Linked DNA regions of Arabidopsis thaliana. The protein of the gene in region 1 purifies or fractionates together with the protein of each later gene. This does not show direct contact. Each region holds a gene or a part of one and is shown in the gene's direction. Other genes may lie near its edges.

Region 1 (14,359 bases):
ACTATTTAACTACATGTCATCTCCCCCATAAATAGACAAAAATATTGAATTATTTTCCATGATCTATAAATATGCTGTTATAAGATTTTAGCTAGTGGGGATAATAATATCTACATTGCATGTATTATTATCATATCTTTTAGAAGAAAAAAAATCAAGAATGTCTCTTTATTGACATTGAAAATACAGAAATCTAAGTACCAACTTTTAAAAATGAACATGACCCTTTTTGCCAAACACAGTGAACACACCAACCTGTAAAAGTATAGCTTTGCTTAGATAGATAGTTTCTTTTGATATATTTATGATTATGTGTGTGTGTATGTATACGTTTTAGTGGTCCAATTCAATGGATCTTAATAATAAATGGATTATTGCATCCGAAATGGGACCGTTTATTACTAATTTTGTAACAATTAAGACCCTTAAGTGCATAGTTTTAAGTTGAGGCAGTTATTAGCTCTTTTGGGGGAGAATTTAATCAAGTTAATTAAATTGCTAAGTGGAAGAAATCATTTCATTTGCTTCCTAATTAGTAGGAGACACAGACCAAACATCACTTTCACTAATGACATGTTTATCTCTGTTTAGATATCTAAGGGTGTTACTTAGTTACGATATACATAAATAGATAATAACAATGCTTAGCATAATTATTAAAGATTGGACACAAGACGACAAAAGAGGTTAAGATGATAATGATTTGATGTACTTGGAAAACACTTTTGATTTGTTTAGGGCTTTGGAAAGGGTCCTCAAGTGTCTACTTTATCTTTGGGAATGGAACATTAAGAATAGTAAACAAGGTCTACTGTCTCTCCCGACGTAAACACTTTGGCCTTGAATAGATTGTTGTGGTAACATAACAGCGAATGTTGTGATAGCAACTAAGTGTCTATCTAATTGACTATATAATTATTTATAGTTTTAGATCAATACTAGTAAGATTATAGTTCCTTGGATTGTAAATTTTGGTATTTCCAACACTTTAAAACGATTGCTGGATCTTTAAAAATCAATTGGATGACACAATGCTTGAAAGAAAATGGTCTATTAAGTTCTCAAGTTCGAGTGGAGCTTCCAAACAAAGTGCGCCTCAAGGTATCAAGTTCGAGTTTTGTTAGCGGAGAAAAGACTAATTAACATGTTATGGTCTCCAACCCAAAACTCGAAACATCTTGGTTACAAAAACAAAATGCACATACTAAAAAATAATATAGTTCTCACTATTAATATCCGGCTCAAAGAAGTGTTTGAGGCAATAGGCAAAATGTACACACTACTCTTTCATATTCTCTGAACAAATTCTTATATCAATCAATCAACAAATCTATACAACTCTCTTAATTCTCATATTTATGGATATGGGCTAGAAATATAAGGTTGCCTCTTCTTCTTCTTTTTTTGGCATAACGTTTTGGGGGATAATTTAGTATTAAGACTTCAATGCAAATACATTGCTTAAAGTTCTACTAGATGTTTTGTCTTCGTAGAGGTCAGGAGATCAACAAAGACAGAAAGAACAATAGTAGTCAATACGAAAATATATTGTGTTGTCACTCTTCCGATTCTGAATTTATTCTGTGGTCATCAATATTGAAGTAACAACAACTAAACAACTAACGCAGACATTGACTGGGCCTAGAACATCCGGCCCATGTGTACAACAAAAAAAACTCATGTAGTACGTTGTTGGAAACCAGGAGCTTAAAAAACGACGATGTGTTGACAAAAATAGTCCCACATCGCTTAGATCCAAAATAATGACAAGGGGACGCAGAGTATATATAGAGAAGCAGACGTTTCGAGCAAATTACTTACCTGGACGGGGTCTACTCGCGATCAACAAGACGAGTGGCCTAGGCTAGTGACCGCATTGCACATACCGTTGGGGTGCTATGCCTAAGGTCTTCCCTTGAGGAGGATCCTACGTCATTATTTGTGGCAGAAGGGGTTTGCGTTCGCGCAGCCCCTACCATTCAATTAGTCTCAATCTGTTATGCCTTAGGTTAGAAACCTGTTTTCAATATGGACAAAACAGAAATATCAGGAACTCAAGTGACGACGTGTACATTATATTGTTTGGTACACCAAAAAGTCCCACATCGGAAGCATATATTGGCTTCATAGGTTTTGCTTGGCTATAAATTAAGAGGCTCTCACTCTGTAGAAAGTCATCTTTGCGCTTGGGGCAATGACGCAGCTAATGAGGTCTTAACCGAGGCGCGTCTATTGCTGGTTGAAAACTATTTCCAAACCCCCTCCTAGGCCTAAGCTTGTCTTGGGCCTTCGAGAATTTCTGGAAGAGCTCCCTTCCGGGTAAAGCTCTACAATTCTTAGTTCAATTTTTATCCTTTAGGTTATGTCCTTGTCTAGTTGGTTGGTTTACACATTTTTAATTTGTCAAAACCGAAAATTAAAACTCTGCGATCTTTCTAACCCCAAATAGTTTCATCAAACTTTTGATACAAAACACCATAGTAAGACCAGAAAACTCAGTGCAAATATATGATCAAATACATACCTTTTTTTGGTTTCTTTTTGTAAGACCTACGGTGTACAGACAATTCGAGTGTTCATTAAAGCAAATATGTAGTTCATAAGTTAAAAATAATACTCATTATCATGTCTCTCTTTTACATTATTCTGCTTATTCCCAAACCCTTTCCCAAATCAATTGTTGCGTTTAACACAACAAAGCCGTTACATTTTCCAATCGCTGAATCATCTAACCGTAGACAAGTTACCGGAATATGTTTCTCCTTTATAAGCCGTCTTCAAGAATCATAGAGCTCAATATCCCTTGAACGAACTCGCTCTGTTTCAACTTTTCTCTGTGATCCTCTGCTGAAAGAGACTGCTTCTCAACATTCCTGTATAAGACAGATCAAGACAAGAACCATCATAACAAACTCTGCAATTTGCATTTCTACAACAACAACAAAAAAAACACTCAGATCACAAGAGCTTTTAGGTTATTGGTAAAACAAGGGATCAACTAAATTCCATTAAGGCTCATAAAAACTAAGGATGAGTAATATGCGATGACTTAACAAGAATGATCAAGAAATCAATGAGGATATCATCCAGAAGTGTAATCCAAATGAGAATGTGGAAGCATACCTTTCAGGCAAACTCTGATTCAATGTTTTCTTGGCAGAACTTGTGTCTGCACATAGACTTGACTCAGAAATGAAAAAGTCATCAGCCATTGGTGAAATGAATGAAGACAGTAAAGGATCAGCAGCTATACTGGCAGAAGAAGAGGATACAGCACGTGATGTTCCTTCAAATAGGCTCTGAAAATTTCCATCAGGAAACTCTCTCTTCAAGATCGATAGCATGGATTGAGCCCCGCCTCTTCTTGATTTCCTTTTCCGCGTCACGTAATATTTTGTTAAGGAATGTAACTGTTAGAGATAAAATCTTTATTATGATAGTAGAAAAGATAGAACAATAAAGCAACAAGAGTATAAACTCAATAGAATCCTCCAAAGCTCTCAATTGCTTGGTTAGGTTTCACAAACAAAACCTAACCCTTACTTCTAACAGAACATAAATAAAAGACTCTAGGAAAAGTAAATCCTAAACTATTTCCTAAATCATAAATCAGGAAGTATTCATATCATTAACACAACTCATTGGAAGAATCAGATAAGTACATGATCGTTAAAAATATAACTGGTAGAGAGAGCAAAAAGGATATCTTGAACATATTTGCATGTTGTAGGGTTATATGAGCAATCATATCAGAGCTCACTTTCACCGCACAAATGGGACATACCTACAAGATTAACAATGTCAAAACGCAGAATTGAAAACAAATCTTGCTATTGTAGCAATAAACAAGTGTCCTAGAGTTGATTTCTTCTCTGAGGAACACTGAGTGGCAATTCCAAATACTATTTCGACGCATTTCATTAGGTTACTTTCACTTTCTTTATATCCAAGACCAGTAACTACTAAACATAGAACAGTGCTCTTACCAAGAATGATATGATGAAACAATAAATAGATTTTGATTCAAAACGAGAGAAAGGTAACATTGAGGAAATATCTACCCCATTTTTTGCATCCATAGGATGATCTTCATCAATGTGACAGCATAGAGAGACGATATCAAAATAGTCTGAACAGAACGGGCAAGCATACTCCTCCCTGAAGTCATCTTCTCCTTCTATCTCCTCAAACCCCAAGAAATTGTCTGCGTTTTTCAAAAATGAAGAAACTAGTCAAACACGGCCAAGAGAACATTCGAAAATGTGACAACTACAAAACAAAAGCCTAGAAAATAAAATGACAACTACAAAACAAAAGCCTAGAAAATAAAATGGGAAATACTAAAAACGCGTTCCATTCTCGAAGTTCCAATACAAATGGGTTTCAGAAGAAACATCAAAGATATCTAAATAAACGAATGGAAACTAGTAGATCATAAAACCTTCCCTGGCAAAGACGTCTAAGTTTGAGATGAAACTAAAGCTTTTAAAAACGTTTTTACCAACAAGAAGTTTTGTATTTACTTGTAAGTCAAACAAGAATCATCAAGATTCCAGCTTTTGACATTAAGTTCATACCAAAACCTAGAAACAAAACACACACGCTTAATCAATCCCTAAAGCCTCACATTAGTAAAATGCCTCAAAAGACAGAATTTATTTCCTCCATTTTCCTTAAATTCAATATCAGCAAAACAAACATTTGAACAATCACCATTTCAAATATTCAGAACAAGACACAATCAATGTCTTGTCCCATTTTGTTCGGAAAACCAGAACAGTAACAAAAATGTCAATCTCTTACAGTCAATCTCGATCCTTGATCAATTCAAAAGAAAACAAATTTGAGGTCTAAATATCATTGATATTTTTGCAATAGAATCAAGATTAAATTTAAGACAAAACCAATCAAATCTCAAATTAAGAAAGAACAAATCCAAGTTATAATTTTTATCAAACTCACCAGATCGAGACAAGAAATCGAGCTGATATCTTCTTGAAGCCGATGCGAGACGATCACTCCAAGAATCAGAATCCATTTTTTCTACGAAGATTATTACAAATCGAAACCAAAGAATCCACTTTTTCAACAACAACAACAAAAAATCAAATAAATTCCAAGAATCCGAATTGATCTTGAGTCCGGATAAAACAAAAACAGAGATATTCCGATTCAAGAATCAAAAGATTCCGACGAAATGCAAAGACGAAGACGACGACGACGATTTTGCGTCTTTTTTTTCTGGAATTCGTCTTTTTATCTTCTTTTTTTATTATGGTTTTTAATTCTTTGGATATAGAGAGAGAGAGAGAGTGAAAGACATAGAAGAGATGAGTTCTATTACATGTATTAAATTGTTTTTTAACAGCCCGCACGAATGCATGCCGTTTAAACCTTTTACCCGCCGTGTTTTTCCCTTTTGGAATATCAAAACGTCATGCTGTTAGTACGACGCTTACGTGTCGAAATATTATTGGTTTGTATTTGGTAAGCTGGTGAAACAGGACAAAGTTAGCCGCGCAACTGTTTTTTAACTTTTTTTTTTACTGTTTCCAAAGTTTTAAGTTTTGGGGAAATAGTGAAAAGTGAAAACCTCAATTTGCAAATCTGAGAGTTTACTTTCCTCATCGGAAAAAGTTTTGATCTCGCCGCTCTCCGAGCACTTCCTTGTCGGAGTCCCAATTTTTGTGTTCGGTTTTATTCTCGGTCGATGATGAAGCCGCGATTGTGTTCAGATCGGAGCTGATTTCGAATTTGGATGTGAAATTGAGATTCTAGGGATTTCAAATTTTGACGATCATGGCGACGAGGAATCGTACGTTGCTGTTTAGGAAGTACAGAAACTCTCTGAGAAGCGTCAGAGCTCCATTGTCGTCATCTTCATTGACGGGAACACGATCCGGCGGCGTTGGTCCGGTGATCGAGATGGCGAGTACTTCGTTATTGAATCCGAATCGCTCTTACGCTCCTATTAGTACCGAAGATCCTGGAACTTCTAGGTACTCTTCTCTCTCTTTATCAGTGAAAATGGTGAACAATTTGATCAATTAGGGTTAACTGGAAATGATTAGCTTAGCAATGAGAATGATAATACATCATTGATAGTGTAGTTGAAGTAAATGTCTGTGAGCTACGTTAAGCTGAGAGTTAGTAGTTACTGAGATATTTTTGGTCATGTTTTAGTAAAGGTGCGATAACAGTGGGCTTACCACCAGCTTGGGTTGATGTCTCTGAGGAGATATCTGTGAATATACAGCGTGCAAGGACTAAAATGGCTGAGTTGGGAAAGGCTCATGCCAAGGCGTTAATGCCATCGTTTGGGGATGGTAAAGAAGATCAACATAATATTGAGTCTTTGACACAGGAGATAACTTTTCTATTGAAGAAGTCTGAGAAGCAACTTCAGAGGCTTTCTGCTTCAGGGCCTTCTGAAGATTCAAATGTTAGGAAAAATGTGCAGGTAGTTTTGACTTGATGGAAGCTGCTCTTAACACATTTCCTTTCTTTTTGCTGCATTTGCCATTGCTATCTAAGATTTATCATGTGTGTTTAATAACAGCGGTCTCTTGCCACTGACCTCCAACTTCTTTCTATGGAGCTTCGCAAAAAACAGTCAACATATTTGAAACGCTTGAGGCAGCAAAAAGAGGTATGAAACTATTATCTATTTTAGTGTAATTGGCATTTCTTATACCGGAAACTATGTGATGTTGCAGTGTCTCATTCTTTGAAGTTTTTGTTTGCTTTCTGCTCCTCCGCCTCAAATGAAACTTCTTTACATCGATTTCATAGATGATAGATTCTTTTAGTACTTGTTTTTTCAGAGTATATTATTCTGTCCTCTCAAGAAGCTTTGACTTGAAATGTATTATCATTTATCAGGATGGGATGGATTTAGAGATGAATCTGAGCAGAAACAGATATAGACCTGAAGAGGATGACTTTGGCGATATGGTTTGACTCCTATACCTGTTTCATTCTATCGATTTAAAGCAATCATTCGTCTTATGTCTTCTTTATTGATGGAATTTTTTCTCGATTCCTTTTTAGTTAAACGAGCATCAGATGTCAAAGATAAAAAAGAGTGAAGAAGTATCTGTAGAGAGGGAGAAAGAGATACAACAGGCAAGTGCTTGCACTACGTCTTTGTTCTTAGTTGTTTGTAGCTCACCAACGTTTTTTTTTTTCTTTTGCAATCAATCATAATCTTTTTTCTTCTTCGTTGTCTGTGTCATTGTCCAGGTTGTAGAATCAGTAAACGATCTTGCTCAAATTATGAAGGATCTTTCTGCACTTGTGATAGATCAGGTTAAACTTATTTAATCCCATATTCTCTTTGTCTAGCTTTTGAGTCTTCTTCCTTTCGAAAAACAAACTCAAAGCAACCCGTTTAATTGCAGGGTACAATAGTTGATCGGATAGACTATAATATCGAAAACGTCGCTACTACTGTTGAAGATGGTCTCAAACAACTACAGAAGGTAAAAATAGTGTTCTCTCTTCAACATTAATGTCCAACTATTTGTTTGTCCCAATTCTAAATGAAGTGGATCGCATAAAAAAACTTCACAGGCAGAGCGAACGCAGAGACATGGAGGTATGGTGAAGTGCGCATCCGTGCTTGTCATCCTCTGTTTCATCATGCTGCTACTCTTAATCCTCAAGGAAATATTCTTGTGATCGGATACTATAATCCCTGGTTAGATCAATAAGAAAAGTTCGATCCTTAACTATTTCATTCTTTAGCCCCGAACATCGCATGTTTTCCTTCAGGGCTTTTGGTTTCAACTTCTTTGCATTTAACAATACTAAGATCCTTTGCAGAGTAGTTAGTACGTAATATTATTGTGTAGAAGAAGACCATAGATAGTCAGAGGTCGATGTCTGAGGAGTTGAGAGATCTGTGCACCAACGCCAAAATACTCTCTTCACGCTAAAGTCAAGTGTTCTTTTAAAATGTATAAGATTCCAGTCATAGTTGTTGGAACTTGTTTTTGACAAAATGGTTTTGACCATTGTAACTTGTGGATTTTCCGGTGAAGACGTTCATTGGAGTGACCAGATTTCGGGCAAGATGGAATCGTAGCTGCGAGCACTACATGGTGGAGTATTCAAATGTGAAAACGAGTTTGTTTGAAATCTTTTACTTTCCGGTTATTGTATCTTCGCATAAATTACAAATTCTCAACATTCTAGTTCTTTTAAAAACATATATCATTTACAAATGTATAAATATTTTTCACTTGAAACAATGAAAACTTTATACACGTTTTTGTGATGAGTTAATATGAATTAAATTACATCTCAAGTTCTCAACTCTAGTTTGAAATTGGTCATGCCAAATAGCCTAATTGAACTTGTATTGTTATTGTGTCATTATCATGGTTCAAACCCATATTATAATCATACTGTTGACAAAAATTATAATTTTAATATTAAATTTGTGTTATTATTTTTGTAGATAATTAGCTGGAGGGTTTTTAAAAGAAAAATATAAAAAAAAAATTAAATAATGATTATATCAGCGCTTAAAAAAGATAGTATTATCCTGGATAGCACATTATTTTTTTTATCTGTTTCTAATGATTCTTTAAATTACCTTTAAATATAATAAATTACATATCTAAGAATTTTTTAAAATTTATGATAATATTTTATCTTTTTTAAATGTAGCATGTATATAATAAATTTAAAACTTATATTATATATAGTGCTTCAATAAAATCCTTGAACATGTATAACCAAAAAAAAACCTCAAACAACATGTGCATGGATGTTTACCAATTATCATTTAAAATATAGTTATCTTATTTACAATGGATGTTTACCAATTATTGGTTATATATTTATTTACAAAAATAAAATGAAAAAAAGTAGTTGATGGTTTTAGTCTTTTTTTCGCAATAGGGATAATTTTATTGTTTAAGTCAAATATTACATGGATTATGAAATACCCCAGAACAAAAAAGCTACAGAAACATATTAGGCCCAACTAAAGCCCAACAGAGAAACCGTCTATGGAAGAAGAAATATTATCTTTTGTCTCTATCCAAAGCCACGTGTCTTCTGCTGGAGAGAAACCAATACACGTACTGGATGAGAATCCAAAGTTTTCCCGACTTCATCCTTCGCCGTCAAACATCGACTCCGGTGAAGATTCAACGTCGATTAACAAATCAAACATGGAATCTTATGGGTTTTCACCGGTAAAAATAATCGAAGCCCTAATTAGAGAAACAACAGCTCAAGGTAATGTTAATATGCAACGGAAATCACTTTTTTTTCCAACTCAAATCTCTGATTTGTTTCCTGCAATTCTAAACTCAAAAAGAAAAACAGGTTAGATAATAAGTAACAAAAAGCGAAAACCGCTCTATCATTATCACCAACACATCTCAAATGAGATTTATTGAAAGCAAAGCTAATTTATGAAAAAACAAAAAGCAGCAAAAGAACGCTGACGGCATAGCCGACCATCATCACTGTGAAAGCTGAATGATACCGGACAAGAGCTGGCCAACACCGGAAAGAACTGGTAATTGCCAGACGATAATCCCTATCAGAGAAGACGGTAGCCGGAAAAAAATTCGGACGGCAAAGTGAGTTTGAGGTTTCTCTCTCTCTGAAAGAATTTAGAAAGAGAAGAGAGAGAAAAAACTTTGGTACTTAATTAATTATTTAAGTAATTAATTGATGATTTTAGTTTGTCTTGGAAACATACTTAAAACCAAAAAAATATGGAAATGGATTGTAATTTGTCTTGGAAACATACTTAAAACCACTCAAAAAACTAGATTTCCTGTTTTTTTTTGGAGAAATGTTTTTGAAAAACCACAATCATTTAAGGCCTTGTAGTTTTATTGCCAATGGAGTATGAGTTACTATCAAAAATTGAAAAACAAGTGAAATTCATATCCTTTTTAGTCTTAGCTGTATAATTTTCTGCATGGCCGGATCTAGTTAGTACCTAATATAAGTTAAACTATACAAAGTTATAGTTAAGATTACTTCATTAATTATATTAAAAGAGGATTAGTACTTTAGTAGATAACCCATAAACGAAAGCTAAGTAGTTGAATTTGCATGTGTACGTATATGGAGTATAAAGCAGTATGTACTATTTATTTATTTAGTGCATAGTCTTTTTACTTTCTTAAATCACACTTCCCTCTCAACTCCGTAACTCCCACAGATATAATAATTTATTTTATTTTCATATCTTAGAATTAAATTTGTTCTCTGAAGATAATTCTGATGTCAGAAAACTGCAATTCTCGCCATTTCTCATGGCTCATGAAATCTTGTTTACCAAATCCCTCCGACGCCAAATCACTAGTCCAGATCCACCAACCGTCGTCCACGGCGGCGAATTCTTCAGCTACAATCGCTTCTCTACCTGACGATTTACTCCTCGAATGTATCTCAAGAGTCCCTTCCTCTTCAATTCCTTCTCTCGCCGTCGTTTGTCGCCGTTGGTCTCGTCTCCTCCACTCTCCTTACTTTCTCCATCTCCGTCGTCGTTTAGGTTTGCTCCGACATTCTCTCTTCGCGATATCCACCGTCGATTCAGGACTTTTCGCCGCGGATTTGCAGTTTCAGTCCGAGATTGCGTCGTGGAAAGTGTCTCTTGCGGTTTCGAGTAGGTCTGTTGGCGTTGACGGTAGTTATGGAAGTTTATCTCATGCTCGCGCGGCGGCGATTGGACCTAGGGTTTATGTTGTTAGTAGAAATGCTGTTTTGAGATACGATTCGTGGATGGGAACGCTTAATTTGAGATCTCCGATGATTTTCCCTCGGAAGAAATTCGCAATCGCGGTTGTTTCTGGTAAGATCTACGTTGCTGGAGGTGGTGGTGGTTCGGAGGTTGCGGCGGCGGTGGAAGAGTATGATCCGGAGTTGAATCGGTGGGAAGTTGTGACTCAATCGGCGAGGAAGAGATACGGTTGCATCGGAGCAGCCGTTGACGGAGTTTTTTATGTGATCGGTGGATTGAAAATTGGGAATGAGACCTCACGCGCGGTGGCGGCGCGTGCTTATGCGAGCTCTATGGATCTTTTCGATGTGGAGTCGCGTCAGTGGTTAAGGAGTCGTTCGGTTCCTGGTGGTGGATGTGTAGTGGCGGCGTGTGCGGCGGTTGGATATGTGTATGTGCTAACCAGTCACGCGGTGGAGCTTTCGTTTTGGCGATTTGATGCGCGTCGTCGTGGTGGAAACAGCGGGTTTGGAGAATGGCAGAGGCTGAAAAGTCCGCCGTTACCGGCACAGGTGCGGTTAGATGGAACGGTGAGGTTTAGCTGCGTCGGAGTGGAAGATAAAGTGGCGGTGGTTCAGGTGGTGGGATGCATTGACGATTTGCTTCGGCGGAGTGGGAGGGGTGAGAGAGGGATTAGAGAAAGCCTTGTGTTGCTGTATGATACGACGGAGGGAGAGTGGAGGAGAGCGGCGGATTTACCTGAGATGATTACACGCGCCGCCTGTGCGTGTGTGGAGTGGTAAGAGTGGAGACCACGGCGCAGGATTATGGGTACGAGAAGTTGGAAGATGCCAACGTACGCAGGATATATTAAAGTGGGCAAAAACAATATCATTATGATTGGTGCACATGTTTACTGTATGAAAAGCAATAGCGTCTTCTTGAGCTCGTAACCTTATTGGCTATTTTTATTTCCCAATCAAATCTTATCAGTAATTATTATATAAGAAAATATTTACTACAACGGTTAGATTGATATTAGTGAAATGGAAATAGGATCTAATTTATATTTTTCTATACTAATAAACTATAAACAATTATTTATAAAAAATAGTGCAGACAACCAAGATTTTTTTGCTGACCTTAATTAAAATATTAGTAAAATATGTAGAATTTTTTTTTTACAACGGTTAGATTGATATTGGTAAATGAAAATCAGATCTAAATTAGATTTCCTCTCTGATATCAATCATAAAATGGATTTTATTACACGTGATCAGGAAAAAAAAAAGAAGATTTTTATTACAATTACTGAAAAATGCCAACGGTTAGATTAATTAATATCATCATCATATAATGAAGAAAAGATACTCTAAAGAAAAAGGAAATAAAACCCACAGCTCAATTTGTCTCTCTTGGTTTAGTAAAATCAATATCAAATATTATATGGAAATACTATAATTTCACAATTCTATATAACCCTGAACCGTGTGTTAGTTACACTATTATTCTAAGAGTTTATTTTCTAGGTTTCTCTCTGATAAGAAACTAGGTATCTTCTTCTTCTTTTTCTGTGGGTAAACAACAACAATGGATTCTTCAATGTCGACGAAGAAGAAAACCAAATTGTCTGTGAGAAACCAAACTTGTTTCAAGAAATCGTCCCTGTCTTCTTCTTCCACTGCAAAAAAGACCACGAATTTGTCTATGAGAGAACAGACCATGTTTAAGAAAGCCCTCGAGCTTTCGACTCTGTGCAACATCGATGTCTGTGTCATATACTATGGTCGTGACGGAAAACTCATCAAGACATGGCCGGATGATCAATCAAAAGTTCGAGACATGGCTGAGAGGTTTAGCAGATTACACGAGAGAGAGCGATGCAAGAAAAGAACCAACCTTTCTCTGTTTCTACGTAAGAAGATCCTCGACGACACTAAATTGTCGGAGAAAGTCTTAGAGATGGAGGATTCGTTAGAAAGTGGTCTACGAGTACTACAAGATAAGCTTCTGTTACTCCAACCCGAGAAAAACCAGACCGAGTTTGGTCAGACCCGTGCGGTTTCTTCCACAACGAATCCATTGTCTCCTCCTCCTTCGCTAATTGAGGATCATCGTCATCAACAACGGACAGAACCATTGATGAGTGGTGTGTCAAACACAGAGCAAGACCTATCGACGTCATCATTGAGTCAAAATCAGAGCAAATTTTCTGTCTTTCTCTATAACCATGACAACTGTAGCTTCTATCAAGTACCTGACTCTGTTTCTAGCTTTGACAGTTTGACGAGTACTGGTTTACTTGGGGAACAAGGATCTGGTCTGGGAAGTAGCTTTGATCTTCCCATGGTTTTTCCTCCTCAGATGCAGACACAAACCCCACTTGTCCCCTTTGATCAGTTTGCGCCATGGAATCAAGCACCGTCGTTTGCAGATCCAATGATGTTCCCTTATAATTAGTTCTTGTTGTTCCAAACTCTGATCTTTGACTTGGTGTACGTTTTATTATGGTCTATTATATATGTATTCTTCATTTAGATTATGAGTTTAACTGTCTCTTCTCTTGCCTGATTACGAGTTTGTACTGAATTGTATGTTTTCCCAAGTATGAATGCTATTTTCTCAAGTTTCTAAAAACAGTCTTGGCTTCTTCTATTTTTCTTATATCTGAGTTCTAAAACCTGTTATATTCAAAGTCTTAACATTAATTGAATGTTAGATGTCCATAATTTATGCAGATTAGCCAACTAATTGAGTAATTGAGCAAGGTTCTGTGAAATTTTCTCAATGGAGGAAAGCTTTTTGTAAGAGCAGCGATTGTGACAAGCAAATTACTTGGCACTTTGATGTGTCAGATGCTCTTGTAGCAGCTTCCAACAAAAGATGTTGTTGTGTAATTGTGTTTTGTCCAAGAGGTGGAAAAACTCTGGCTCTGTATTTTGTCTTGATTAATGTAGGATCAAATTAAATAATCGGTTACATTAATTGCAGAGTTAGATACATTAAACAATAGAATGAGAGAAGAATATCCCAAAAGAAGCTTATAGCTATGTCTAAAATGCTTCAGGCCTTCTTGTTCTTGGCCATGGCAGCACTGATATCAGATGCAGTGTGACAGCGAAGGACGAGATCAGAGAGTGAGAGCTTGAGATCAATGGTGAGTTTCTGGAACACCTTAGATAAGAGTAACACATCTGACAAGGCTCTGTGAGCATCACCCTCCCTTGTAAGACTATAGTAGTCCGCAAGCGCTTCCAACGATGAACTTAGCTTAACCGTTGGCTCTGCAAAATTAGAAGAAGAATAACGCATTTCTAGTTTAGCCAACTAAGATCATGGTGATACAAAGCGAGACCATACAGGCTTAATTTGCATCTCAGTGAAATAGAAGCTGATGGATTTTAGTATGTTACCTACAGACTTCATGTTCTCTCTAGCGAGTGGGAGCGAGTCGAGTAACAACCAATTATGAGGAATCTCATAAGAACAACGGTTAAACTCGTTGATCAAAAACTGGAAGTCAAATGATTTGCCGTTGTGTGCAACTAACATCACATAACCTCCAGGCTTCTGTCGACTCTCAACATACCGCAGAAATATCGGTATCAGCTCTTCCATCCTACCACCAACACAAAACCATCATTAGTTTGATCCAATGGAAGCCAC
Region 2 (17,004 bases), on another chromosome or scaffold:
CTTTGTCTGATAGATTAGTCTTGTTATGGTAAAAGAAAAGGAAAGGCATGAAAATGGGAGGAGCAAGCTGATCAAGGAAAGAGAGATGATGATGGCATGGAGGATGATTAAGGTTTCGAGGAGAGGGCTTGACGAGTTCCTGAGAAGTTACCGTGATCTCAAGCCCCATTCTTGTTTTGAAATAACTTATAATAATGATGTATGAGAACTGAGCAGACTCATGCTTCGTCAGTAAGATTATATAAGCTAAAGTTATAAGGAGGTATAGTCCTCTTTAATAACGTGTCATGGTGATTAGACACGGATCAGAATTAGACCCAAGTGAACAAGAAAGTTACAAATTTTATACAAAGATTTGGTTTTGGAGACTTCAGCTGGATTATTTTGTCAACATTATGAAACTTGATATGGGGTTTTGGTTTAACCCAGTTTTATACTAACGTTAGGTGGAAAACTATATCTTCTATTTAGACTTGAACAAGTTAATTTGCCGCAAGTGAGTTAAGCAGCTTCACAGGATACCTTTTCCCTCAAGAAACTCAAGCTTCACAGGATGCCTTTTTCCGCAAGAAACTCTTCTATACAAAATGAGTTTAGGAATAAGTACAAACAAACAAAAATTAAAAACAGGGATTCGGTTCGTCAACAATTATATAGTGATAACATTTTCAAAGTATATATCATCATCATCATTAACTAGTTGGGGTTGGTGGTCGATGGTCCTCAACATCTCCTTTAGTCCTTTAGACTAGTCCTTACCAAAAACGTTTGACTATTCATTTTAGCTAAATTATATATTCCGATAGGCTCGTTTTAATTATACGAAATTATACTTTTGTATTGCCATTCATAACAAATTTTATTTTGTATATATATGTTTGTGGTCGATATAGTCAATGGAACCATTAGGTAGAACTTTAAATCAATAAATGATATTTTTGAATTGAAAATTAGGGTACGAATTATTCCAAATTCCCATTCTTCAACTTAATAAATATGGGCTGTTCATCTACTATGAATTAATATGATCATTACGACCAATAGCAACTAACCAGAATAATACTATAGTATATATTCCCTAGAAACCAATTTTTAATTAGTGGCATTAACATATTCATAAGACAATTAATATTTTTATTTTTATTTATACTATTCAACATTTTTCACAAAAGAAAAAATCCTCCGGGGGGAAAAAACATGCTTTTGGATTAAATATTAAACAAAGAAGGCTCGATCTACAATTTCTAAATCTATATATAGTTAGAAATCATTGTAGCAATAGAGTAAACGTTATTTCTTCATGCTAGCTTCATACGTCATAAATTATGTTGGAGGACACACCATGGTGTTGAATTCATCATTTTCTATATAGCTAGTTGCCAATAAAATTATAATATTCGTTATGGAATTTGAAGGCTGAGAAATATTGTTGCTGGAGAGCGAGTTTAGTTTGTTGTCCACGCGAACAGCAATGATTCAAAACAAAAGTAATAGTTTAACGAAAACGTAGGGTTTTGTTGAGTTATGTATCTCAGCTCTCAACACGATCAACGTCACGTTCAAAACATTACATCTGGATTTGATTATTCCAGGATATTAATTAATTAGGGTTTATCCACTATACTCAATAGAAAACGTACAAACTTCTGAAATGTTTAAAGTACAATTACTATTTAATTAATCTTCTTAATCAATTCTTATTACGTTGACTATTGTGACTCGTGAAAATAGCCCGTGGACTTTGGATGAGGTATTTTACTGCAGCTCATGACATGTTAATAGGACTTATCTAATAGACTAATACTATAGATGTTAGAAACTCTAAATACAAAAGGACTTATCTATAAATATAATCGAACTCAACAATCTCAGTGTAATACCATGAATCAACAATCTTAGCAACCTTTATAACACCATGAATTTAACATTATCATCGTAGTCAATAATAAACGTTTTTTTCTTTTTATACATTAAAAAAAAAAAAATACAATCGTTTAATTAATCAACGAAACGACTGTGTTTTAGTTTCCGTCTAAAATTTAACACCGTTTATTTGCAACATTTGATAGATTATGCATTTAATTTGTTCAAATTTTCAAGATGAAATGTCAATACTTTTGAGTTTATTTTTTTATTTATTTATTTTTTATTAATTTTTTTATACATTTTTATTAATTTTGATTATGGACAAACTAGATTTTTGTAAAATTAACATTGCAATCATGAAAGTGATATTTTCAAAACAAAAGTACATTAGTCTAAAATGATACTGAAATATGAAAAGGATAAAATATGCACTACTAATTTAGTATAGAATCGATAATGAAGAGAGAATCTTCTTCCCTATTCCCTAATTGTGTTCATAATTAGCATAATATAATAAGGAAATAATGTTGGCTCTGACAGGTCACAGATATTGAAGACTTGAACAAAAAAAATACTTTATGAAAGAAGTTGATTAAAGAAACCAATTTGGTAACGGAGACCTGCCAACAGAAAGCATATAATGTTTTATAGATAAGGACAAAAGCTATTTCTCTCTACAAACATTATAACAACAACACTCATCATCATCATCCAATTTCTCATCATTATGATCTTTGAAACAGAACACCAAAATTAAAAAAGTTTGCAAGAACAAAAAAAAAAAAAGAGATAAGATTCTTCTCTCTGTATTTTTGAAAAAAAATATATATAAATTTTTTTCTTGGCTTTCACGAAGTCTCTTTCTCTGGCTGCAAAAATATCATCAATAGCGAAAAGTCGCTTCTTTTTTCTTCTTCCAAAATCTTTAATTTTGTGAAACCGAAGAGATAAGACGTGGAGAAAAGCAGACGTCTCTGTTGTTTGTTTTTGATTCATCGGGTTCTAAGGATTTGTCTGTTTCCAAGACACAAACTTTGGATTCTCTTCTCTTCCTGTTCGTCTTCTCTTGTCTTGATCCTTTTGTTATCATCATCATCTCTTCATCGAGAGAAGAGAGACGAGATTAGGGATTTAAGTTAAGGAGGATGTATTATCAGTTGACCAAGTCTTCTTACAGAGACTCTTTGAAGATTCTGGAGGCTGATATTGAGCACGCCAATGGACTGTGAGTCATCCTCTGATTCTTTCTGGGTTCTTTGATTTTTACTGGGTTTAGGGTCTTTAGTATCGATTGTTATAGTTGGCTTCGATGATTTAGGGTTTAGGGCCCCACAATTTTACATTTTCGGTCGTTATCACGAACTTAGATTATTAAAAATCGAAACTTTGCAGAAATGGTCAAAAAATTGCTAAATTTTGTGGCATGCGTGGTGTGGTCTTGATGCATATGTTGTCTGAAGAAATGGGTTAAATGTGATTAGAAGGATGGTAACTGAATAGTCTCACAATTTGTATATCTGTGGTGTGGTATTGATGCATATGTTGTCTGTGGAAATGGTTTATGTGATTCGAAGGATATAGTAACTGCTTAGTCTCAGAATTGGTATCTGTGTGGTTTGTTCTTCAGGCATATGTTGTCTGAAGGGATGGGTTATGTTAGAAGGATTAGTGTAATGACTGATTACTCTCAAATTTGATTCAGGGCTGCTGAGATTCCAATGGGAAAGAGCGGTGTGCGACTTCAGATGAAATTGGTGTGCAGCAATTTGGCTCCATTCTTCATATTCCTGCTACAATGGATGGATTTCTCATGTCTGCTTCCAAGATATTTTGATTTCTTCCACATACTCATATACAAGGTTGTTACCGCATACATAGATATCGAGTTGTGTGTGTGTGTGTGTGAAATGGTAGATTCCCTGATAGTTTCTCTCCTTTCCTCTTGGCTTGTTTGTTTTATAGGTGTCTTCTTTGTCTTGTACAGGTACGTGCTGATGGGCGGTGGAATCGATCTAGGTACGGAAGGAAAGCTACGATTAGGGAGTTTTACGGTAAGACTAAGCTCTTAATTGTGATTGTGTTTCTTCTACTGTGGGCTTAATCTTATAACTATGGCTCTGGCTAAATGCAGGTGTTATATTACCATCACTTGAGCGACTTCATATCAACTTTGCTGACTTACCGGACGAAAGCTTGTGGTATCCGAATCCAAAAGCCATCACCAAGAAGCAGTATGACATTGAAGGTAGCAGATACATGAATAGCATTGACTTGGAAAGAGAAGACGAATGCGGGATTTGCTTAGAGCCTTGCACCAAAATGGTGTTGCCAAACTGTTGTCATGCCATGTGCATCAAATGTTACCGTAACTGGAACACAAAGTCGGAGTCATGCCCGTTTTGTCGTGGCAGCATCAAGAGAGTGAACTCAGAGGATCTGTGGGTGCTAACTTGCGATGAAGATGTGGTGGATCCAGAGACGGTCACCAAAGAGGATCTTCTTCGGTTCTACCTCCACATCAATAGCCTTCCTAAGGATTATCCAGAAGCGGCCTTCTTAGTCTACAACGAGTACTTGATATGATTTTATCCCGAAACATAAATACGGGTGTACAGAGGGAGAGAGTGATCCCAGACCTTTGATTAAGTGTACATAAGAATCTGGTGATCCATTAATGTTCCTTCGTTTTAGATTATGATTTATGAAGATTGTCATAATCTTAATGTGTACCCCTTTTATTATCAAAGATCAAATGAGAAAGATGATCTTCATGTCTTCTTGCCAACATAAGCATGTTTGAAGATGAGATTTAAAAACTGTTATAAGTAAAATCAATTCCTAGAGATGTTCAATCCGGATAAACCAATGCAAACCGAATCGAACCGAACCAAACCAATTGATTGTGCAATTGTGCTAACTGTTTCAATTTATAAATCCTCAAGTTTCTCTCTCTCTCTCGCAGAACAGAGAGTGGTGAAATCAAGTGAAGAACACTAAGGTTCAACTATGGCGACTCTTCGTTTCACTCTACTTCTTCTTGTCTTCGTCGTCGGGATCTTCTTCTCCTTCTCCTCCGTTTCTCATGTATCTCCATCTCATCTCTTCTCTAAAAACCCAAACTTTTTATATTTTGTGATCCGAACACGATCCGTTTCTTATTTCTTCGTGGCGTCTTTGGTAGGTACGTGCAACAAGTGAAATCAATCTCAGGATCGAACCATTTTCCTCGCCGTTCGCGACGGATCTTGCAAAGCTGCAAACTCAAATTGGGTACAGTAACTTAAAGTCACTTCTTCTCTGTTGATTTTACTAATTTGTTCCTAAATGTGTATTGGAGGATCATAATTAGGGAAATTAAGGCCATTTCTATAAGATTAGATACTCTCTTGATGTGATGATTAAGTTGAATCACTGATTTGGTTAAATTCTATACTCTTAAAGTTGTGACCTTTCCTTTTTTTTTGTTTGGTGTAGCTACAAGTTTAACAACATCAACCTTCTTCGCCGTGCAATGACTCATGCTTCTTTTTCTCAAGAGAACAACAAAGCCTTGAGTATCTTTGGAACCCATATCATTGAAACCGCGGTCTCTCTTCAGTTTCTCGCTAAAGATATCGATATTTCCTCGAAAGCACTGGGCCGTTTGATATCAGAGGTTTCAAATGTGGAGTCCTCATGTGCTCTTGACGGAGACCGGTTGGGTTTGGGGAAGATAATCAGAGTTTCTACTAAGACAGATGCATCGAACTCGGCCATTCTTTGTACTGGCTTTAGGGCAATCTTTGGAGCTATAGCTATTGATGCTGGAACGGTTGATGAAGCCATCAAGGTTTTCTGGAAGGTACATGGAGCTCGAGCTGGAAGACTAGTCTCTATGTTGTAAATTAGAGCTTTATTAAGTCATTAAAGTCATGTTTTTTCGGATGCCAAGTTCTAAGAGACTCTTCTCCAATGCTTAGAATTTTATGGTTGATGTTAACTATTAGCTGCTGTTATGAGGGTGTAAGTGATCATACTATAGTGTTGACTCCAAAACTATCTATTTTTGTTGCAGTACCTGCAGTGACTTAATGACTGAAAACGTTAAAATGACAACAAATCAGTCAATTGCAAAGAATTATGGTGGTATCTCCATAGAAAATGTGAAAGTGGTCCAAAATGTGAGAGATGTGCATGCAGACTTGTGGATCCAACAGTTGTGAAAGATGTTATGTAATCAGAATGTGCAAATGATGCAATAGCGACACATTAGTAATTCGAACTGTTACATGTGTTGCAGTAAGCAAGTCATAGGAAATAGGGATCCCATCATCATTTACTTGTTATTATGTTGAATTTAATTGATATATTTTGTGAATATAGGATTACATATGTATTTAATGCGATATTTTGTTAAGAAGATTTTATGAGAGAATCTGTAATTATATTCTAATTTTTGTCTTACATTTGCAATATATACGTTTGACTAAAATTAAGTGATCCTTAAATTGCACATATTACCATATAAAAGTCACGTGAACAGAAGCAAACGTTTCTTATTGGACGAAACACATCACCCACTTCAATGGCACGACACAACCAAAACATATGTCCAAAAAAAATAAACGATTTTGGGAGAAAACAAAACGCACCGCGTCGGTCGTGCTGCAACGCTTTCTTCTTCTTCTTCTTACCTCGCTAATTTATTACTCACGGATCTCTCTGACTTGAGCCGTTTCACACACTTCCTTTGTTTGCTCCATTTCTCGACTCTCTCTAGAGGTCCCGTCTTTGATTACCGATATTGGCTAATCTCTCTCTCTCTTTAATCCTTCTTCGGTTTCCGAATTCGTGATAGATCTATTGGGGGAAAAAAGGGTTGGGATCGTATTTAGATAATGCACGAGAAGGATGATCTTCCGCAGGATTCTATAGCTGATGGAATTGAGAATGATGACGAGTCTAATGGGCAAGAAGAAGAAGAGCTTGATCCTGACCAGGTGAGATTTCTATTTCACCATGGCTCTGAATCGTTTATGTGGTTTGTGTTTCGTATGCTGAAATTGGGGGGATATATTGGTATTTTGCAGGGAACAGCTTTCGTTGATAGTAAGGAAGATATGTTTGTTGATGCTCCTGAAGAGTTGAATTTTGATACACCTAGCAAGGAAGCTCTTACCACAGATGACGATGATAATGATGACCTTGGAACTCATTTCAATGTCTGTTATTTTTTTTATGATTCTTTTTAAAGTCTAAATTTTTTGTTGAGTTTCCTCGAAAATTTATTGAAAGATCTTTTCTTTTTTTGTTTTCTGCATATAGATTGAGAAGGGGGATTGGGAGAAGGAACTTGCAGGGCTTCAGGAGCAGTTTAAGCTGTTGACTGGTGAGAATGATTTGACAGGTGAAGATGGGAACACTACTGTGGATATTGTCAGTCGCTTCTCGAAGTTCTTAAAAACTGCCAAGGAAGAGCGGATTCAGCATGAGGTTGCACTCAAGGAGCTTCACGGGGTTATTAGTGGGAGGGACGATGAGATTGCTGATCTCACCACAAAAATCTCTGAGCTTTCTTCGTCGCAGCCGGTTTCCGAAATGGGTGATCAGGCACAGAACTTGGAGCACCTTGAGGCTGCAACGGATAGGATTATGGTTTCTCTTAGTAATGTATTTGGGGAAGGGGAGTTGCAGTATGGTTCTTCTATCTCTGAAAAGCTTGCTCATCTGGAGAACCGAGTTTCGTTTTTAGGTGCAAAGTATACTGAGTTTTACTATGGTGCTGATCAGTTAAGGAAGTGTTTGGCTAGTGATGTGTTGGATCTTAGTTTCCAAGAGGATTTTGGTTCAGCTCTTGGTGCTGCTTGTTCTGAGCTATTTGAGCTCAAACAGAAGGAAGCAGCCTTTTTTGAAAGACTTAGTCATCTAGAAGATGAGAATAGGAACTTTGTTGAACAAGTGAACAGAGAGAAAGAAATGTGTGAGTCAATGAGAACAGAATTTGAAAAATTGAAGGCAGAGCTTGAGCTAGAAAAGACTAAGTGTACTAACACAAAAGAAAAGCTCAGCATGGCCGTAACAAAGGGGAAGGCGTTAGTTCAGAACCGGGATGCTCTGAAGCATCAATTGTCTGAAAAAACAACAGAGCTTGCGAATAGGTTGACTGAATTACAAGAGAAGGAGATTGCCCTTGAAAGTTCTGAAGTAATGAAGGGGCAGCTGGAACAATCGTTAACCGAAAAGACGGATGAACTTGAGAAATGCTATGCTGAATTGAATGATAGGTCCGTATCCCTGGAAGCATATGAGCTAACAAAGAAGGAGTTGGAACAGTCTCTGGCTGAAAAAACAAAAGAACTTGAAGAGTGTTTGACGAAACTACAAGAGATGTCAACAGCATTGGATCAATCTGAACTCGACAAAGGCGAGTTAGCAAAATCCGATGCTATGGTTGCATCATATCAGGAAATGTTATCGGTGAGGAACTCTATCATTGAAAATATTGAAACTATCCTGTCAAACATATATACACCTGAAGAAGGTCACTCTTTTGATATCGTTGAAAAAGTAAGGTCACTTGCAGAAGAGAGGAAAGAGCTCACAAATGTTTCCCAGGAATACAACAGACTAAAAGATTTGATCGTTTCCATTGACTTACCAGAGGAGATGTCCCAATCCAGCTTAGAAAGTCGCCTAGCTTGGCTTAGAGAATCTTTTCTCCAGGGAAAAGATGAAGTTAATGCCTTGCAAAACCGGATTGAAAGTGTAAGCATGTCTCTTTCAGCAGAAATGGAGGAGAAAAGTAACATTAGAAAGGAACTGGATGATTTAAGTTTCAGTTTGAAAAAAATGGAGGAAACTGCAGAGCGAGGTTCGTTGGAGAGGGAGGAAATTGTGAGGAGACTTGTGGAAACCTCTGGCTTGATGACAGAAGGAGTCGAAGATCATACTTCTTCAGATATCAATTTACTTGTTGATAGATCATTCGACAAGATAGAAAAGCAAATCAGGGATTCTAGTGATAGTTCTTATGGCAACGAAGAAATATTTGAAGCCTTTCAAAGTCTCCTTTATGTGAGAGATCTGGAGTTTTCACTTTGTAAGGAAATGCTAGGAGAGGGAGAGCTGATTAGCTTTCAGGTAAGCAATCTCTCAGATGAGCTAAAGATCGCATCTCAAGAACTTGCTTTCGTGAAAGAAGAAAAAATTGCTTTGGAGAAAGATCTAGAGCGATCAGAGGAGAAATCTGCTTTGCTCAGAGACAAACTTTCTATGGCTATCAAGAAAGGCAAGGGACTAGTCCAAGATAGGGAAAAGTTTAAAACTCAGTTGGATGAGAAAAAATCTGAAATCGAAAAGCTGATGCTCGAGTTGCAGCAGCTAGGTGGTACGGTTGATGGCTACAAGAATCAGATAGATATGTTATCGAGAGACTTAGAGCGCACGAAAGAGCTAGAGACTGAGCTTGTTGCTACTAAAGAAGAAAGAGATCAACTTCAGCAATCCTTATCTCTAATTGACACGTTGTTGCAGAAAGTGATGAAATCAGTTGAAATTATAGCTCTCCCTGTTGATCTAGCATCTGAAGATCCTTCAGAAAAGATTGACCGACTTGCTGGGTACATCCAAGAAGTGCAGCTGGCTAGAGTAGAGGAACAAGAAGAAATAGAAAAAGTAAAGTCAGAAGTTGATGCGTTAACCAGTAAATTAGCAGAAACCCAAACAGCCCTGAAGTTGGTTGAGGATGCCTTGTCTACTGCAGAGGATAACATCAGTCGGCTTACTGAGGAGAATAGAAATGTCCAAGCTGCCAAGGAAAATGCTGAGCTTGAGCTGCAAAAAGCAGTTGCAGATGCCTCCTCTGTAGCTAGCGAACTGGATGAAGTTCTTGCAACCAAAAGCACACTTGAAGCTGCACTCATGCAGGCTGAAAGAAATATATCTGATATTATTAGTGAAAAGGAAGAGGCTCAAGGCAGAACTGCTACTGCAGAGATGGAGCAAGAGATGCTGCAAAAAGAAGCTTCAATTCAGAAGAACAAATTAACAGAAGCACATAGCACCATAAATTCACTTGAAGAAACACTTGCTCAGACAGAAAGCAACATGGATTCGCTGTCCAAACAAATTGAAGATGACAAAGTTCTTACTACAAGTTTAAAGAATGAGTTAGAGAAGCTTAAAATTGAGGCAGAATTTGAGCGTAACAAGATGGCCGAAGCTTCCTTGACAATAGTATCCCATGAGGAGGCACTAATGAAGGCAGAGAATAGTCTTTCTGCTTTACAAGGAGAAATGGTGAAAGCTGAAGGCGAGATATCAACTCTCAGTAGTAAACTTAATGTATGCATGGAAGAGTTAGCTGGATCAAGCGGAAACTCACAGAGTAAATCTTTGGAGATTATTACTCATCTTGATAATCTCCAGATGCTACTGAAGGATGGAGGTCTAATTTCCAAGGTGAATGAATTCCTTCAAAGGAAGTTCAAGAGCCTTAGAGACGTGGATGTCATTGCTAGAGATATCACACGAAATATTGGTGAGAATGGATTATTGGCAGGGGAAATGGGCAACGCTGAGGTAACAGTATTCTCTTACCTTTCCAGATCAATCTTTCTTCTGTTAGTTCACTTTTTTCTACTCAAATTTACAGCTGCCCTTCATCATTCCTGTTTGCATATTTGTTGGTTCCAAAGATGCCTTAACCTGTAGCGATCTCCTATTTGTTGTTTGCCAAGGATGCAACATTAGTTAGAATCTGTTTTTGTGGGAGTTGATTAATGGAGATATTATGAAATTATTATTCTGTGAAACATTTGTCAGTATAGATGGGCTAGACTTTAAGAATTCTCTCTTGGTCAATTTGTTAATAGGCTGTTCTCTTGATAACGCTGTTATATTTCCAGGATGATTCGACTGAGGCAAAATCGTTGTTGAGTGACCTTGATAATTCAGTGAACACAGAGCCGGAGAATAGTCAAGGGAGTGCAGCTGATGAAGACGAAATTTCTTCATCCCTTAGGAAGATGGCAGAGGGGGTCAGGCTGAGAAACAAAACCCTCGAGAATAACTTTGAGGGTTTCTCAACTTCCATTGATACTCTCATAGCGACTTTGATGCAAAACATGACAGCAGCTAGGGCTGATGTGTTAAATATCGTGGGTCATAATTCATCCTTGGAAGAACAGGTGAGGAGTGTGGAAAATATTGTTCGTGAACAGGAGAACACTATATCTGCATTACAAAAAGATTTGTCATCTTTGATATCTGCATGTGGTGCGGCTGCCAGAGAACTGCAGTTGGAAGTGAAAAATAACCTCTTAGAGTTGGTTCAATTCCAAGAAAATGAAAACGGTGGTGAGATGGAATCAACTGAAGACCCACAGGAGCTTCATGTAAGTGAATGCGCCCAAAGGATAAAAGAATTATCTTCTGCCGCAGAGAAGGCATGTGCTACTCTTAAACTCTTTGAGACAACAAATAATGCAGCTGCCACTGTAATCCGAGATATGGAGAACAGGCTAACAGAAGCATCTGTCGCTCTAGAAAAGGCTGTGTTAGAAAGAGATCTAAACCAAACTAAGGTTTCAAGTTCTGAGGCCAAGGTGGAATCTCTGGAAGAGCTTTGCCAAGACCTGAAACTTCAGTTGGAAATCTCAGAGTGAAGGAAGAGAAATGGCATGAAAAAGAGGTGGAACTGTCTACGTTATATGATAAACTATTGGTGCAAGAGCAAGGTAATTTTTATCTTTTGTTGTCTCTCATTTCTTTAAATCTTCATCACATAATTACCACTATACTAAAATGTCACGTGCTGTTGCTTCGAATTGCAGAGGCAAAGGAAAATCTAATTCCAGCTTCTGATATGCGAACCCTTTTTGACAAAATAAATGGTATTGAAGTGCCATCAGTAGATCTAGTCAACGGATTAGATCCACAGAGTCCATATGATGTGAAGAAGCTATTCGCGATTGTTGATAGTGTTACTGAGATGCAGCATCAGATAGACATCTTATCATATGGACAAAAAGAGCTCAATTCTACTTTGGCAGAAAAGGATCTTGAAATTCAAGGTCTAAAGAAGGCGACTGAAGCAGAGAGTACGACCGAGCTAGAGTTAGTGAAGGCAAAGAATGAACTGTCCAAGCTAATATCTGGCTTGGAAAAACTGCTGGGTATATTGGCAAGCAATAATCCTGTTGTAGACCCAAACTTCTCCGAGTCATGGACACTCGTACAAGCACTAGAAAAAAAGATAACTTCCCTTCTCCTAGAATCAGAGAGTTCAAAATCAAGGGCCCAAGAACTTGGTTTAAAGTTGGCCGGTAGCGAGAAACTTGTCGATAAACTATCATTAAGAGTCAAAGAGTTTGAAGAGAAACTTCAAACCAAAGCAATTCAGCCTGATATTGTTCAAGAAAGAAGCATCTTCGAAACACCGAGAGCACCTTCTACCTCAGAGATATCCGAGATTGAGGACAAGGTAATATCTTATTTCGTGCTATTTCAGCTTATTCCTTGACCCTTGTTTTGTTTACGCCATCCGCTGCCATTGTGATTGGTGATATCTTATAAGTAATCATTTAGCTTCAATCTCTTGCTATGTTTTGATCTCCAAGTTTGGACTGAACCCATTTTGTTCTCAGGGAGCCTTGGGAATAAAATCAATATCACCGGTGCCTACAGCAGCACAAGTGAGAACAGTGAGGAAGGGATCGACGGATCATCTTTCAATCAACATAGATTCAGAGTCCGAGCATCTGATGAACAACAACGAAACAGATGAAGATAAAGGTCAGGACTCTGGCGTCTACATATATATCTCGCTTATTACTTAAGTATGATACCGCTCGGTTGACTCATATCTTAAACACAAATATTCTTTGGCAGGACATGTTTTCAAGTCTCTCAACATGTCTGGTCTGATTCCAACGCAAGGAAAGATAATAGCAGATCGGGTTGATGGAATATGGTAAATATACTCACTAATATCGAACAGTTCTGTAATAGCTCCCAAATATTTCCATCTTACCAATCCCCGGGTTTGATTTCTGCAATGCAGGGTCTCAGGTGGAAGAGTATTGATGAGCCGTCCTCAAGCAAGGCTTGGCGTTATGGTATACAGTCTCTTATTGCATCTGTGGCTCCTAGCCTCCATCTTGTAATCAAGACAGGTGACTCTTAGGTCTCTCACATGAAACTACTACACACAAAAGAAACACATAAATTGCTCTCTCTTCTCTTCTCTATTCTTCCATTCTTTGTCGACCCGTAAACAGAGAATGATAGGTGTCGTCTTGTATATATAACCTGAATAATGTCTCGATTATCTGCGAGCTTTTTTTCATTATAGTTCTTCAGTTTCTTAGTCCTAGAATGTTTAATTAGGACTCCGAAAATGGAGCAGTAAGTTATTACAGTTTGTTTTTGTTTGTGTCTCAAAGTTTTTCAGAAAAGTGAAACATATGTTCCATGACTTAACATGTTTTGTGTCGGCAACGACTTTTAAGTTTCGAATGATTTTGTAAACAATTTTTTGAATAGTAGTAAGTAGTATGATCTAACGAAACTAATCATTTTGACTCTTTAATAGCCTTTGACTTCGAGAGTAGCGAGAGAGAGAGACTTATTGACTTCATACCTACCACTTATTAACTATGTTATCTATTCCCAAAGATTGAGCTTTGGAATTGACGTATTCAAGCTTTGCCTCTACTATAACCAAAAGCAAGAGATAAATTAACTTGCTCTAACCAGAAAAGCTCGTCTTTAAACAATAGAGGCGACTAGAGGAAAATACATTTTTTTTTGTTTGCATCTATTGTGTATCAAAACTAGAATCGAATTTAACTGATGAGCTAAATTAGCTAAACACAATATAGTAACGTGATTAATGTTGAAATTCAGAAATGGAACTAGATTATTAAATTTTAACACCAAAAAGACTGTCCACCAATTGAATGCATAGTCCTTTTTATAGTGAAAAAATGTCCCAACCCCAACCTACCAAATTCCCAAAAGAATCATATTCTTCCTGTTGTATTTGAATTTTGAGTTTTGAGCAACACAATAACAACTTTTAATTAGATTTTATTTTCTTTTTAATGAAAGATGACTTATCCAAAATAGTTTGATGACTTGGTCTTTTCTTGCAAACTAAAATTTTTGTCTGATACTCTCTTGTTAGTCATTTCAACTCAGTTTGTAGAAACCATCGTTATTACTTATTAATGCCGAAAATCTGCCATGGAACCAAATCATTAAATTTAACAAAGAACTGTCCAAAAAAGGGTAATTTAAAGATAAATTATTTTCATTACAACAGTATTAATGTATTAGAATTATTAAATATAAAACAAATTAGCAAAATTAAAGAAACAATATGAAAATAGTAGGCAAAACATAAGCAAAACAAATTTTGGTCAAAAATAGAAATTTAAGGTTCAAAGTTGAGATAAATAAATGATTATTGATATAGAAACTAAACTACACACAAAACTGTACGTAATAATACAAAATATTACAAAAACATTCAAATTTAATGGTATATAGCCGTATTACTTAGATGGCAATTGTGTAATGAATGAGATCATAATCTTCCTTAAGACGGCGTTACCCAACCTACCAGTCTCCCTAAAGATCATAATCTTCCTTAAGACGATCACTTATCCTATATAGTACATGTTGATTTGACCTTTTCTTGTAAGCTATAATATATTGTAAAACACATTTTGTATAAAGAAAATTAAGATTGAGCAAGGAAAATAATCTCTCTCTCTCAACTCTAGTTTTCCTACTTAAAGAGTTAGTTCCAAACCAAAATGTCATGACAAATAATCAGCTAACAAATATAGGAAAAAAGAAAGAAAGAGAAAGCAGAACATGCAGGGAGCATGCATCTCCGAGAGTCAGCCATGGTATCTCCATTTCGTATGCTTCATAGGCTTTCTCTTTCTCCTTAGAGTACTATTCATTCCTCTCCTAAAATGGTTCACCACAAGATTCCTCCTCACACCCAAGCGGCTCAAGCGGTACGGCTCATGGGCTATGGTCACTGGAGCCACCGAGGGGATCGGACGCGCCTTTGCTCACGAGCTGGCCAAACACGGCCTTAACCTCATCCTAGTCAGCAGAAACCTTTCGAAGCTCGAATCTGTCTCTGATGATTTCCAACAAGAGTTTCCCCACATCAAGATCAAGATCATTCCATTTGACTTCTCCTCTGGTAACAATAATAAATACACTTTCTTACTTTAGGTCAATCCTATAGAACTAGTCTATACATAGTTATCGACATTATGTGTGTGTGTGTGTGTGTGTGTGTATTAATACTAGTACACGATTGCAATATTGAATAAATATTCTTGTTTCAACGACCAGGGTAAATATACCATTACTCAATATGAATCATTTCAAATAGTACACAATTACACTTATTGTATCTAGGTGTGTGTTTGTCAGAGATTTGCGAAAAAAAATAGTACATAGTTACACTTATTATGTGTTTGTAAGAGGGCAAAAACAATCGATTTTGTTATAGTTTTGCTGGAAAAAAATACATGATATTTACAAGATTAAACAGAAAATTAAATATTTAGAAATATATTTTGTTAAATGACCTAGTAGTTGTTTAATGCATATTTATTATGTCATTTGGTAATTTTAAGCTATTTTCCGTCTGCATAAATATACATAGAACCCAAGAAATGTAGCATACATAAGTCTATATATGGAATAGAAAAGATGTACTTGAAAGAAAGAAAAACTGTGCAGAAGGAGGATACGGAGCAATCGAGGAAGGGATAAAAGGCCTTGAAGTTGGGATTTTGATAAACAACGTTGGTATTACTTATCCACGCGCCATGTTCTTCCACGAGGTTGACCAACTTACATGGACCAAAATCCTGAGGGTTAATCTTGAAGCCACCACTTGGGTCACACGATCACTCATCGGACCAATGCTTCACCGCCGCCGTGGAGCCATCGTCAATATTAGCTCCGGCGCTGCCGTTGTTGTCCCTTCTCATCCCCTCTACGCCATCTACGCTGCCACCAAAGCGTAAGGACTTACCACTTTCACTTTTCTTTCACCAAATGCACATTTAATACATCATCATACCTATACTAGCTAGCTAGATTAAGGTTTCCATTCCGTTCTTTCCTTTTCTTGGTAGTTGTTGTATAATAAATACGAAAAAGCATATTAGCAGCACTTGTGTGGAGCTTGAGCATTGACGATCCAAAAGTCTCTAATTTAATTTATTGATGTGTATATATCTCCCCCGATTAAGACACGTGACTTTCTTATTTCTACTACTGTTATATGGTAAATGCATGCTTAAAAAAAAAAAAAAAATAAATTAAAAAAAAAAAAAAAAATGCATGCTTAAAAGGAATTGAAGTATAATCATACGATAAAACCTCAGTCTAGACTGAAGTGTTGTTCGTAAAAAATGACAACTAACATTTTTACTTTGAAAGCAGTAAATAGTAGTTTTCCTTTTCATTGCATTAAATATTACTACTGTCTAGATATTTGCATTAATCATGATTTAAATTGTTTAATTTGCTCAATTATTCATCTAACTATATCATTATATTACCTACCTGAGCGCAGATTGTCTCTGTCACATTAAGAAATCTCTAAACACGTGTATGCAGTTATGTGGATGCACTATCAAGATCTCTACATGTGGAATATAAGCAGTTTGGTATTGATGTCCAGTGCCAGGTACTTTTTCTTCTTTTTTTTGTATTCAAAGACTATCCAATATATGTATTATAGCATATTTTTGTACTCCCTCAGGTAATACGTAAAAGATTTAATGTTATAATGCACGTACGTGTGTAAATCAAATGGACAGGTTCCCTTATACGTGTCAACAAGGATGGTGTCAGAAGTGGCAGCTATAGACAAACCTAGCTTATTTGTACCGTCGCCTGAAGTCTACGCAAAAGCGGCGGTGGCGCAGATCGGAATTGGATCACGTTGCTCGCCGTTTTGGGCTCATTCTCTTCAGTGGTTTCTTGTTGGACTTGTACCGGATAACCTTGTTGATACTTGGCGTCTCTCTATCGGACTTCGCAGAAGAAGTTTATCTTAATGATCATATTTTCAAGTTTGTATTTGCTCCTCCACCTTTCGTGGATAAATATATG

What was found.
Region 2: the proteins of SYP41 (region 1) and TNO1 purify together in Arabidopsis thaliana (affinity purification with western blotting, with the first as the bait; one study listed by BioGRID). This does not show direct contact.

Annotation. Positions count from the first base shown.
Region 1 is NC_003076.8:9,482,045-9,496,403, reverse strand, and holds SYP41 (syntaxin of plants 41), read left to right. Parts: upstream 1-5,311; 5' UTR 5,312-5,799; coding exon 5,800-5,999; intron 6,000-6,183; coding exon 6,184-6,460; intron 6,461-6,559; coding exon 6,560-6,649; intron 6,650-6,882; coding exon 6,883-6,954; intron 6,955-7,050; coding exon 7,051-7,125; intron 7,126-7,242; coding exon 7,243-7,308; intron 7,309-7,400; coding exon 7,401-7,481; intron 7,482-7,572; coding exon 7,573-7,680; 3' UTR 7,681-8,271; downstream 8,272-14,359. Other genes in the region: AT5G26990 (Drought-responsive family protein), read right to left, coding at 2,765-2,873, 3,124-3,386, 3,707-3,784, 4,062-4,204, 4,963-5,038; AT5G26970 (uncharacterized protein), read left to right, coding at 9,018-9,344; AT5G26960 (Galactose oxidase/kelch repeat superfamily protein), read left to right, coding at 10,255-11,496; AT5G26955 (uncharacterized protein), read right to left, coding at 12,630-12,865, 12,951-13,041; AGL93 (AGAMOUS-like 93), read left to right, coding at 12,284-13,153; DPD1 (Polynucleotidyl transferase, ribonuclease H-like superfamily protein), read right to left, coding at 13,757-13,977, 14,107-14,312. UniProt on the Arabidopsis thaliana protein: Contributes to the regulation of secretory and vacuolar transport pathways in the post-Golgi network, and to the maintenance of the Golgi apparatus and trans-Golgi network (TGN) morphologies. Together with VTI12, required for membrane fusion.
Region 2 is NC_003070.9:8,659,329-8,676,332, forward strand, and holds TNO1 (TGN-related, localized SYP41 interacting protein), read left to right. Parts: upstream 1-6,743; coding exon 6,744-6,845; intron 6,846-6,935; coding exon 6,936-7,067; intron 7,068-7,170; coding exon 7,171-10,431; intron 10,432-10,718; coding exon 10,719-11,491; intron 11,492-11,505; coding exon 11,506-12,328; intron 12,329-12,491; coding exon 12,492-12,639; intron 12,640-12,735; coding exon 12,736-12,817; intron 12,818-12,907; coding exon 12,908-13,010; 3' UTR 13,011-13,323; downstream 13,324-17,004. Other genes in the region: AT1G24430 (HXXXD-type acyl-transferase family protein), read right to left, coding at 1-169; AT1G24440 (RING/U-box superfamily protein), read left to right, coding at 3,012-3,091, 3,569-3,725, 3,851-3,917, 3,998-4,449; NFD2 (Ribonuclease III family protein), read left to right, coding at 4,873-4,950, 5,048-5,136, 5,341-5,749; KCR2 (beta-ketoacyl reductase 2), read left to right, coding at 14,728-15,070, 15,619-15,904, 16,507-16,576, 16,710-16,949. UniProt on the Arabidopsis thaliana protein: Tethering factor involved in vesicle fusion at the trans-Golgi network (TGN) thus being required for efficient protein trafficking to the vacuole. Implicated in resistance to salt and osmotic stresses.